Linked DNA regions of Cricetulus griseus. The protein of the gene in region 1 purifies or fractionates together with the protein of each later gene. This does not show direct contact. Links are inferred from orthologs where the notes say so. Each region holds a gene or a part of one and is shown in the gene's direction. Other genes may lie near its edges.

What was found.
Region 2: the proteins of Smurf1 (region 1) and Stk38 purify together in Homo sapiens (affinity purification with western blotting; 3 studies listed by BioGRID, with this or other methods). This does not show direct contact. The link is inferred for Cricetulus griseus from reciprocal best matches to the Homo sapiens genes SMURF1 and STK38.

The regions. Positions count from the first base shown.
Region 1 is NC_048597.1:81,292,588-81,296,239, reverse strand, and holds part of Smurf1 (E3 ubiquitin-protein ligase SMURF1), read left to right. Parts: intron 1-867; coding exon 868-982; intron 983-2,086; coding exon 2,087-2,265; intron 2,266-3,104; coding exon 3,105-3,242; intron 3,243-3,652. UniProt on the Homo sapiens protein: E3 ubiquitin-protein ligase that acts as a negative regulator of BMP signaling pathway. Mediates ubiquitination and degradation of SMAD1 and SMAD5, 2 receptor-regulated SMADs specific for the BMP pathway.
Region 2 is NW_023276806.1:257,506,130-257,509,781, reverse strand, and holds part of Stk38 (serine/threonine-protein kinase 38), read left to right. Parts: intron 1-2,640; exon of another isoform or gene 2,641-2,642; 5' UTR 2,643-2,644; coding exon 2,645-2,775; intron 2,776-3,652. UniProt on the Homo sapiens protein: Serine/threonine-protein kinase that acts as a negative regulator of MAP3K1/2 signaling. Converts MAP3K2 from its phosphorylated form to its non-phosphorylated form and inhibits autophosphorylation of MAP3K2.

The DNA.
Region 1 (3,652 bases):
GGAATTTAGAAAATAAGTTAACCAATGCATCGGTTGAGAAATCCCACCAGAATTCTAAAACTCTGATGTTTTTAGATTCATCCAGTTTTTTACATTACATGACTAGGGATGACTAGGCTGTGGATATGGTTCCACCTGCAAAGTGCTTGCCCTGAAAGCAGAAGGTCCTGAGCTCAAGCCTTGAAACCCATGTAAAAGCCCAGCACAGTGACATGTGCCTGGGGAGCTGGGGCGTTGGAGACAGGAGGATCCCTGGGCTCCCTGGCTCAAAAAATAAGCTGGAGAGCAACTGAGGAAGACATCTGAGGTCAATCTCTGCCCTTCACATGGACACATACATGTGCACACGAATAAAACGTTAAAAAGGAAGGTGTTAGCCGGGCGGTGGTGGTGCACGCCTTTAATCCCAGTACTCGGGAGGCAGAGGCAGAGGCAGGTGGATCTCTATGAGTTCGAGACCAGCCTGGTCTACAAGAGCTAGTTCCAGGACAACCTCCAAAGCCACAGAGAAACCCTGTCTGGGGGGGCGGGGAGAAGGAAGGTGGTCTGTGCTTATGGTCTAAAGGAAGAATTGAGCAGGAAATTAAAAGTTGTGCATGAAGTCTCTGCTTCCCAAACCCTTTACTATAGCAGTTAGGAGCGCCTTCCTGTTCCTGCAGAGGACCTGACCTTAGTTCCCAGCGTCCACATGGCAGTTCACAACCTCATGTAACCAGCACCAGGGGATCTGATGCCCTCTTTTGGCTTCCTTGGGCACTTAAATATATGCATGTGGCATACATTTAAAAATACCTTAAAAAAAATCTGGAAAACAATACTGTTAGCTGAAAGGAAACACACATGTGAGCTGTGTTGTTTTGTTCCCAGGGAGTGGCTGTATTTGTTGTGCCATGAAATGTTGAATCCGTATTATGGACTCTTCCAGTATTCCACGGACAATATTTACACTCTGCAAATCAACCCAGATTCTTCTGTCAACCCTGTGAGTGTTCCCAATGAAGACTTTAGGAATCTAGCTGGAGTTTTTGAGGCAAATCTGGTTTCCACCAGTACTTGGTAACTTAGAGATGATGCTGATGAGAGCTCAGGGCAGGGGTGAGAGCACCGACTTGCAGAACCTGGCTCCAACCTGGATTTTAGCCAGGCTTACAACAGGTGCCTGCTGTATGTAGGAAGGGCTGTGTCTCTGAGCTGCTCTGCCCTCTGAGGGGAGGGGGGAACGACTCTGCCTTGGTTTGGTGATGGATCTTGTGGGGTTTTTTTGTTTTGATGTCACTTTAAGATCTAGGTTACTAAGTCATACTCTGATGAAAATTGGAAAAGTTCCATAATTAGCTCTTTAGGCTACAAATGTGAACACTCAGCACGTGGTAGGTATGAGAGATGCATCCGTGGATTGGTTTAAGACCATGGCGGACCTCTGTAGGACCATATCCTACAGTGTCACAAGGCCACAGAATTGGGATTAGGGACTCAGTCTACTAGAGAATTCCAATACAAATAAACCTGTGGCTGGGAAGATGGCTCATCCACACAAGCTAAAGACCCATTTAGACTGCAGAACCTACCAGGAAGCCAATTGTGGCTGGGGGTGGTGGCGCACACCTTTAATTCCAGCACTCGGGAGGCAGAGGCAGGTGGATCTCTGTGAGTTCAAGATCAGCCTGGTCTATAGAGCAAGATCTAGAACAGCCAAGGCTATGTAAAGAGACCCTGTGTCTTACAAGACCAAACAACCCCCTCCCCCAAAAGTTAGGTATGGAAGTGCATGCAGTGGGAAGGTGGATGCGATCCCTGGAACTTGCTGGCTGGCCAGCCTGATAGGTCAGATCCAAGTTCAACGAGAGATCCTGGCTCAAAATCAGTGGGCAGCACTTGAGGAATGAAGGTGACCTTGGACTTTGATATGCACACACCCACATGTACACATACAGAAATGTCCTTAAACCTGCAGCGGATCCTGCCTGGCCACAGGTGGAGGTGGAAGCTGAGGATAAGCCCTGTTACTTCCAGAGTCCCTGGAAGCCTGCGCCCATGCTGGCAGGTCATCTTCTAATAACTTGCTGTTCTCTGGTGCCCCCTACAGGACCATCTGTCTTACTTCCACTTTGTGGGTCGCATCATGGGTCTGGCTGTGTTCCATGGGCACTACATAAATGGGGGCTTCACAGTCCCATTCTACAAGCAGCTCCTGGGAAAACCCATCCAGCTGTCGGATCTGGAGTCAGTGGACCCAGAACTGCACAAGAGTTTGGTGTGGATTCTGTAAGTGTCACCATCCTGTCCTCAGCTCATGGTGTGTCTGTTGTGTGTGCACAGGCTTTGGGGGAATAGGTGTGAAACTAGGTGAAAGTAACAAAACTATAACAACAACCATTGCATTGCGTTACAAATTAACAACTGACTTATATTCTTAATAATGCTTAGCAAGTTTCTTTTCACAAGCTTTTTTTTTTTTTTTTTTTTTTTTTAGGTTTGATTACAAATGCCAGTAACCTTTTTGATGTGTGTGGGGGTGGGTGGGTGGGAGAGGGAGCAAGCACCTCCAGTTTCTCAGGTGATCTGTAGAAGGCAAGAAAAGTATCAAGACAAAATGAGTGTTTACCTTTGCTTTAGAGTTAACCAGGATGAACTGTGGCTTGGTTGTCCCTGTGGAAGACCCAGCCTAGACAGGCCAGGGAAGCTGTTGTGTGGTGTCTGGCCTGGGACCTTCTTCCTTGGCTTTGCATGCTCTGCCATGCAGGGCTTGGGGGTGGGGGTTTTCTGTGGGGAATCTGCCCTTCTGGTTGTCAAGAGGTAGGGCAGATAAAAAGTAAGTCTGACATTTCAAGTGCTTTTTTGTAGGATAGGTGCCTTTGAAAGGCTGCCCTGAGGAGAGAGGAGCCTTATTTTCATGCCTTAGTCCTTTCGACTCTGCCATCTCTTCACAGGGCCTCATGTCCCAAGGTGTCACAGGGTGAGAGTGACCCCCCCACCCCCACCCCCACCCCATGAATGAGAATCATAAAGCCAGGGACAGAACATGAGTTGTGTCTGCCAGTGTTCAGCACGGCCCCCTAGAACTCTCTGGCATGGGCCTAACCAGCTTTTGCCTATGTCCACAGAGAGAATGACATCACACCAGTGCTGGACCATACCTTCTGTGTGGAGCACAATGCTTTTGGGCGGATCCTTCAGCACGAACTGAAACCCAATGGCAGAAATGTGCCTGTCACTGAGGAAAACAAGAAGGAATATGTCCGGTAATTTTCAGGGCTGGCTTCAGTGGTGGCTGGGAGTGAGTGGAAGGTGCAGTCAGGGGCATCCATAGCAGGAGACTCCATGCGACAGCTCAGCTCCGATGTAGAAGTGGCAAGCCAGGGCCAGCAGTGGCTGCCAGTGTGTCCCCAAGGAGTCCATTCCGGCATCCCAATTCCAACCTGAGGGAGAGTTATGTGCGTTGCTAATTGTGCCACACTGTCACATGGGCCTTGATCCTCTTTGAAATCTCAGCAGTTCTGGCAAGTCTCACTAAGCCTTCTTGCCTTTATATTAGAAAACCAGAATGCCAGAACTGGTTCATTCATAGTTTGTTAGAAAGGCCAGGTGTAGCATGGTATGTATGGTACAGACCTGTAATTCCAGCACTTGGGAGGCAGACACAGGAGTAGTT
Region 2 (3,652 bases), on another chromosome or scaffold:
ACAGAGAGAGAGAGAGAGAGAGAGAGAGAGAGAGAGAGAGAGAGAGAGAGAGTAACTGTCTCTGTAGACTCTCCAGAAAATTGTAGACAACTCTCACTTACCTTATTTTAGAATTTTATTTATTTTGCGTGTTCTTAGTGTGGGGTGATAGAGGCTTGAGGTGGCTTCCTTATGGCAAGTGTGTGGGGGTCAGAGGACAGCTTGTGGGACTTGGTTCTCTCCAACCACCATATGGGTCCCAGGCATTCAATGCCTATCTTCATTTCATGCTTGGTGGCAAGACTTTACCTGATGCCATTTTACTGCCCTGTTGGTTTGTTTTTTTTTAATGTCTGATTTTAAGTATTCTTTCCAAATACACTTTGAGGGCATGTGGTTTTCATTGTGGGTGGAGGGTTACGAGCTGACAAATAAGAAACCACACCCAAGTTTCATAAACCAGAGGGTTTTTTTTTTCTCTCTCCCTTTGAGACAGGTTTTCTTTGTGTAGCCCTAGCAGTTCTATAGCTCGCTTTGTAGACCATGCTGTGCCTCGAACTCACAGAAATCCAACTGACTCTGCCTTCCAAGTGCTGGGACTAAAGGTGTGCACCACCACGAGATTCTTTTAATTGTAGAAATTGAAAATCTCAAAGCTACTGATAAATTACAGAAAAATACATTCTAGATTAAAATTATATTCTCATTTTCCTATAGTTAGAAAACTAATAACACCGACACTCTGTTTTTTGGATAGACCAGGCTGGCCACAAACTCATTATAGAAGCCGAAGATGACTTTGCGCTCCTGTGCTTCCTACATTCACCTCCCAGGATAGCAGGCCTATGCTACTATGTCTCACTTCCCTTACTTTAAGTAACTGAATTATTTTTGCTGGGATTTTTTATACTTTCTTTTTTGCTGTTTGTTTTTTGTTTGTTGGTTGGTTTTTGAGACAGGGCTTCTCTGTATTGCTTTGGAGATTGTCCTGGAACTAGCTCTTGTAGACCAGGCTGGTCTCGAACTCACAGACATCCGCCTGCCTCTACCTCCTGAGTGCTGGGACCAAAGGCGTGTGCCACCATTGCCCAACTTTTTGTTGTTTTTTGGGACAGGATTTCTCTTTGTAGCCTGGGACTCACTCTATAAACCAGGCGGCTGGCCTCAAACTCAGAAATCAGCCTGCCTCTGTCTCTCGAGTGCTGGGATTAAAGGTTTGTACCACCACCATCCAGCCTGGGGTTTTCATACTTTCAGTTAGTTCTATTACATATTTATTAATGGTATTTCTAGTTTTCTTTTGTCATTAAAAAGACATTCATTGTCAGGTGGTAGTGACTGGCACACGCCTTTAATCCCCAGCACTCAGGAGGCAGAAGCAGGTAGATCTCTGAGCTCAAGGCCAGACTATTCCAGGACAACCAGAGTTACACAGAGAAACCATCTGTCTTGAAAAACCAAAAAGAAAAAGAAAAAAGAAAAAAGTTTTGCCGAGTGGTGGCACACACCTTTAATCCCAGCACTTGGGAGGCACAGGCAGAGAGTTCCAGGACAGGCTCTAAAGCTACACAAAGAAACCCTGTCTCGAAAAACCAAACCAAATAATAATAATAATAATAATAATAATAATAATAATATAAAAGAAAGAAAGAAAGCAGCTAACTAAGCCATAGAGAGCAAACCAGGAAGCAGCACTTATTCATGGCTTCTACTGTAGGTCTTGCCTGAGTTCTTGCTGTGGCTTCAGTCAGTGGATTGTGACCTGGGCTGTGTAAGCCAAGTAAACCCTTTATTCTCCATGGTCTTTATCAGCTAACTTAGGACGGGGTGTCTTGCCATGCCTCCTGAGACCTAGAATTATATGACACCATACCTTGTGCCGTAGTTTTGTTTCCTGTTTCTGTGATAAAATACCCTGACAAAACCAACTTGAGGGAGCCGGGCATTGGTAGCACACGCCTTTAATCCCAGCACACGGGAGGCAGAGGCAGGCAGACCTCTGTGAGTTCGAGACCAGCCTGGTCTACAAGAGCTAGTTCCAGGACAGCCTCCAAAGCCACAGAGAAACCCTGTGAAACCCTGTCTCGAAAAACAAAAAAACAAAAACAAACAACAACAAAAAAAAACCAACTCAGTTTTGGGTTATACTCCATCACTGTGGAGGTCAAGGAAACAGCTCTTGGAGCAGCTCACCACAGTGGAGGCCAGATCGAGAACAGTGAATGAATGCTGTCTGCTAGTGCTCGGCTTCCTTTCTGGGTTATGTGTTTGTATGTGGAGTGGGCATGTGTGTGTATACCCCAGCTGTAGACCTGAAGAGGGTGGGTGTCAGAGTGCTGGCAACTGAACTCCAGTCCTCTGCAAGGACAAGTTCTCTTAACTGCTAAGCCAAGTGTCCAGCTGTCTGGTGCCACTCACAGTGGGTAGTTGGTGCCACATCCGCTCCATCAAGAGAATTCCCCACAGACATATTCTCAGGCCACCCTAACTTACACAGTCATTGAGAGTCCCTTCCCAGGTGGGTCTCTGTTGTATCAGATATTAACTCATTTGTCCTCCAGAAAGGCTCTACCAGTTTATGTTTCTACCAGGGGTTGGGGGAGGGCTCATTGTTGGGTTCCAACCGGAAGATGGATAGTAATACCTCTCTTTCCTTCTAAGAGCCATGGCAATGACAGGGTCAACACCTTGCTCATCCATGAGCAATCATACGAAAGAAAGGGTGACAATGACCAAAGTGACACTGGAGAATTTCTACAGCAACCTTATTGCTCAGCATGAAGAACGAGAAATGAGGTAAAGAATTCTGCTTGAAAACATTATATTTTGGGGCTGGGGAGTTTGCTCAGTGGTAGAGTGCCTACGTATCATATACAAGGCAAAAAACAAAACAGAGACAAGAATGAAAAGCGTGCTGTGGTTACGTGTTGTAGCATGTGCTGTACACAAAAGGAGAGCAGGGTGGCAGCAGCTATGTTATAGTTATATGTTATAGTGAGTGCCAGTGTGGCAGATTGCCAGATCCTTTCTATTACAGCCATATCTACTGGTCACTGACTCAGTTCTGTTGCATTATAAAAAGAAATAGGGTCATATCACTTGCATTCATCATTAAAGCAGGGTGATCTAGTCAGGTTGCTCCTTGGGTGTTTGAACCCTGAGTCTTGACTAGCCACTGTGTGAGGCTGGATCTAGAGCTAGTTCTTGAAGGTCTCTGCTTGTCAGCTCCCTCACCAGGAAGGTGGGGATGATGCTGTCTTGAAGGATTGCTGTAACATGTGAGCTCCTGCCATTCTAAAGACTAAGCCAATGATGATGTGAGAGCTGTTTCATTTAAAAAACACCCAAAAACCATTAGGTCTCACTAGGTAGCCCTGACTGTCCTGGAACTTACTCTGTAGACCAGGCTGGCTTCGAACTTACAGACATCTGTCTGCCTCTGCCTCCTGAGTGCTGGGATTAAAGGTGTGCGCCACCAATGCCCAGCTTACTTTATTTTTTGATATGGTCAAACATGTAGCCTTGCCTGGCCCTTTGCCAATCCAGTCTCAGCTTCCCAAGTGCTGCTGTTATAGGCGTGTGCTATGGTTTCACTTCAGACAAGACTTCTGCATGGGGCGATATGTGGAAACTGTGGAGATAAAAGAAAGAGTAAAACTAAAACTCATTTGGG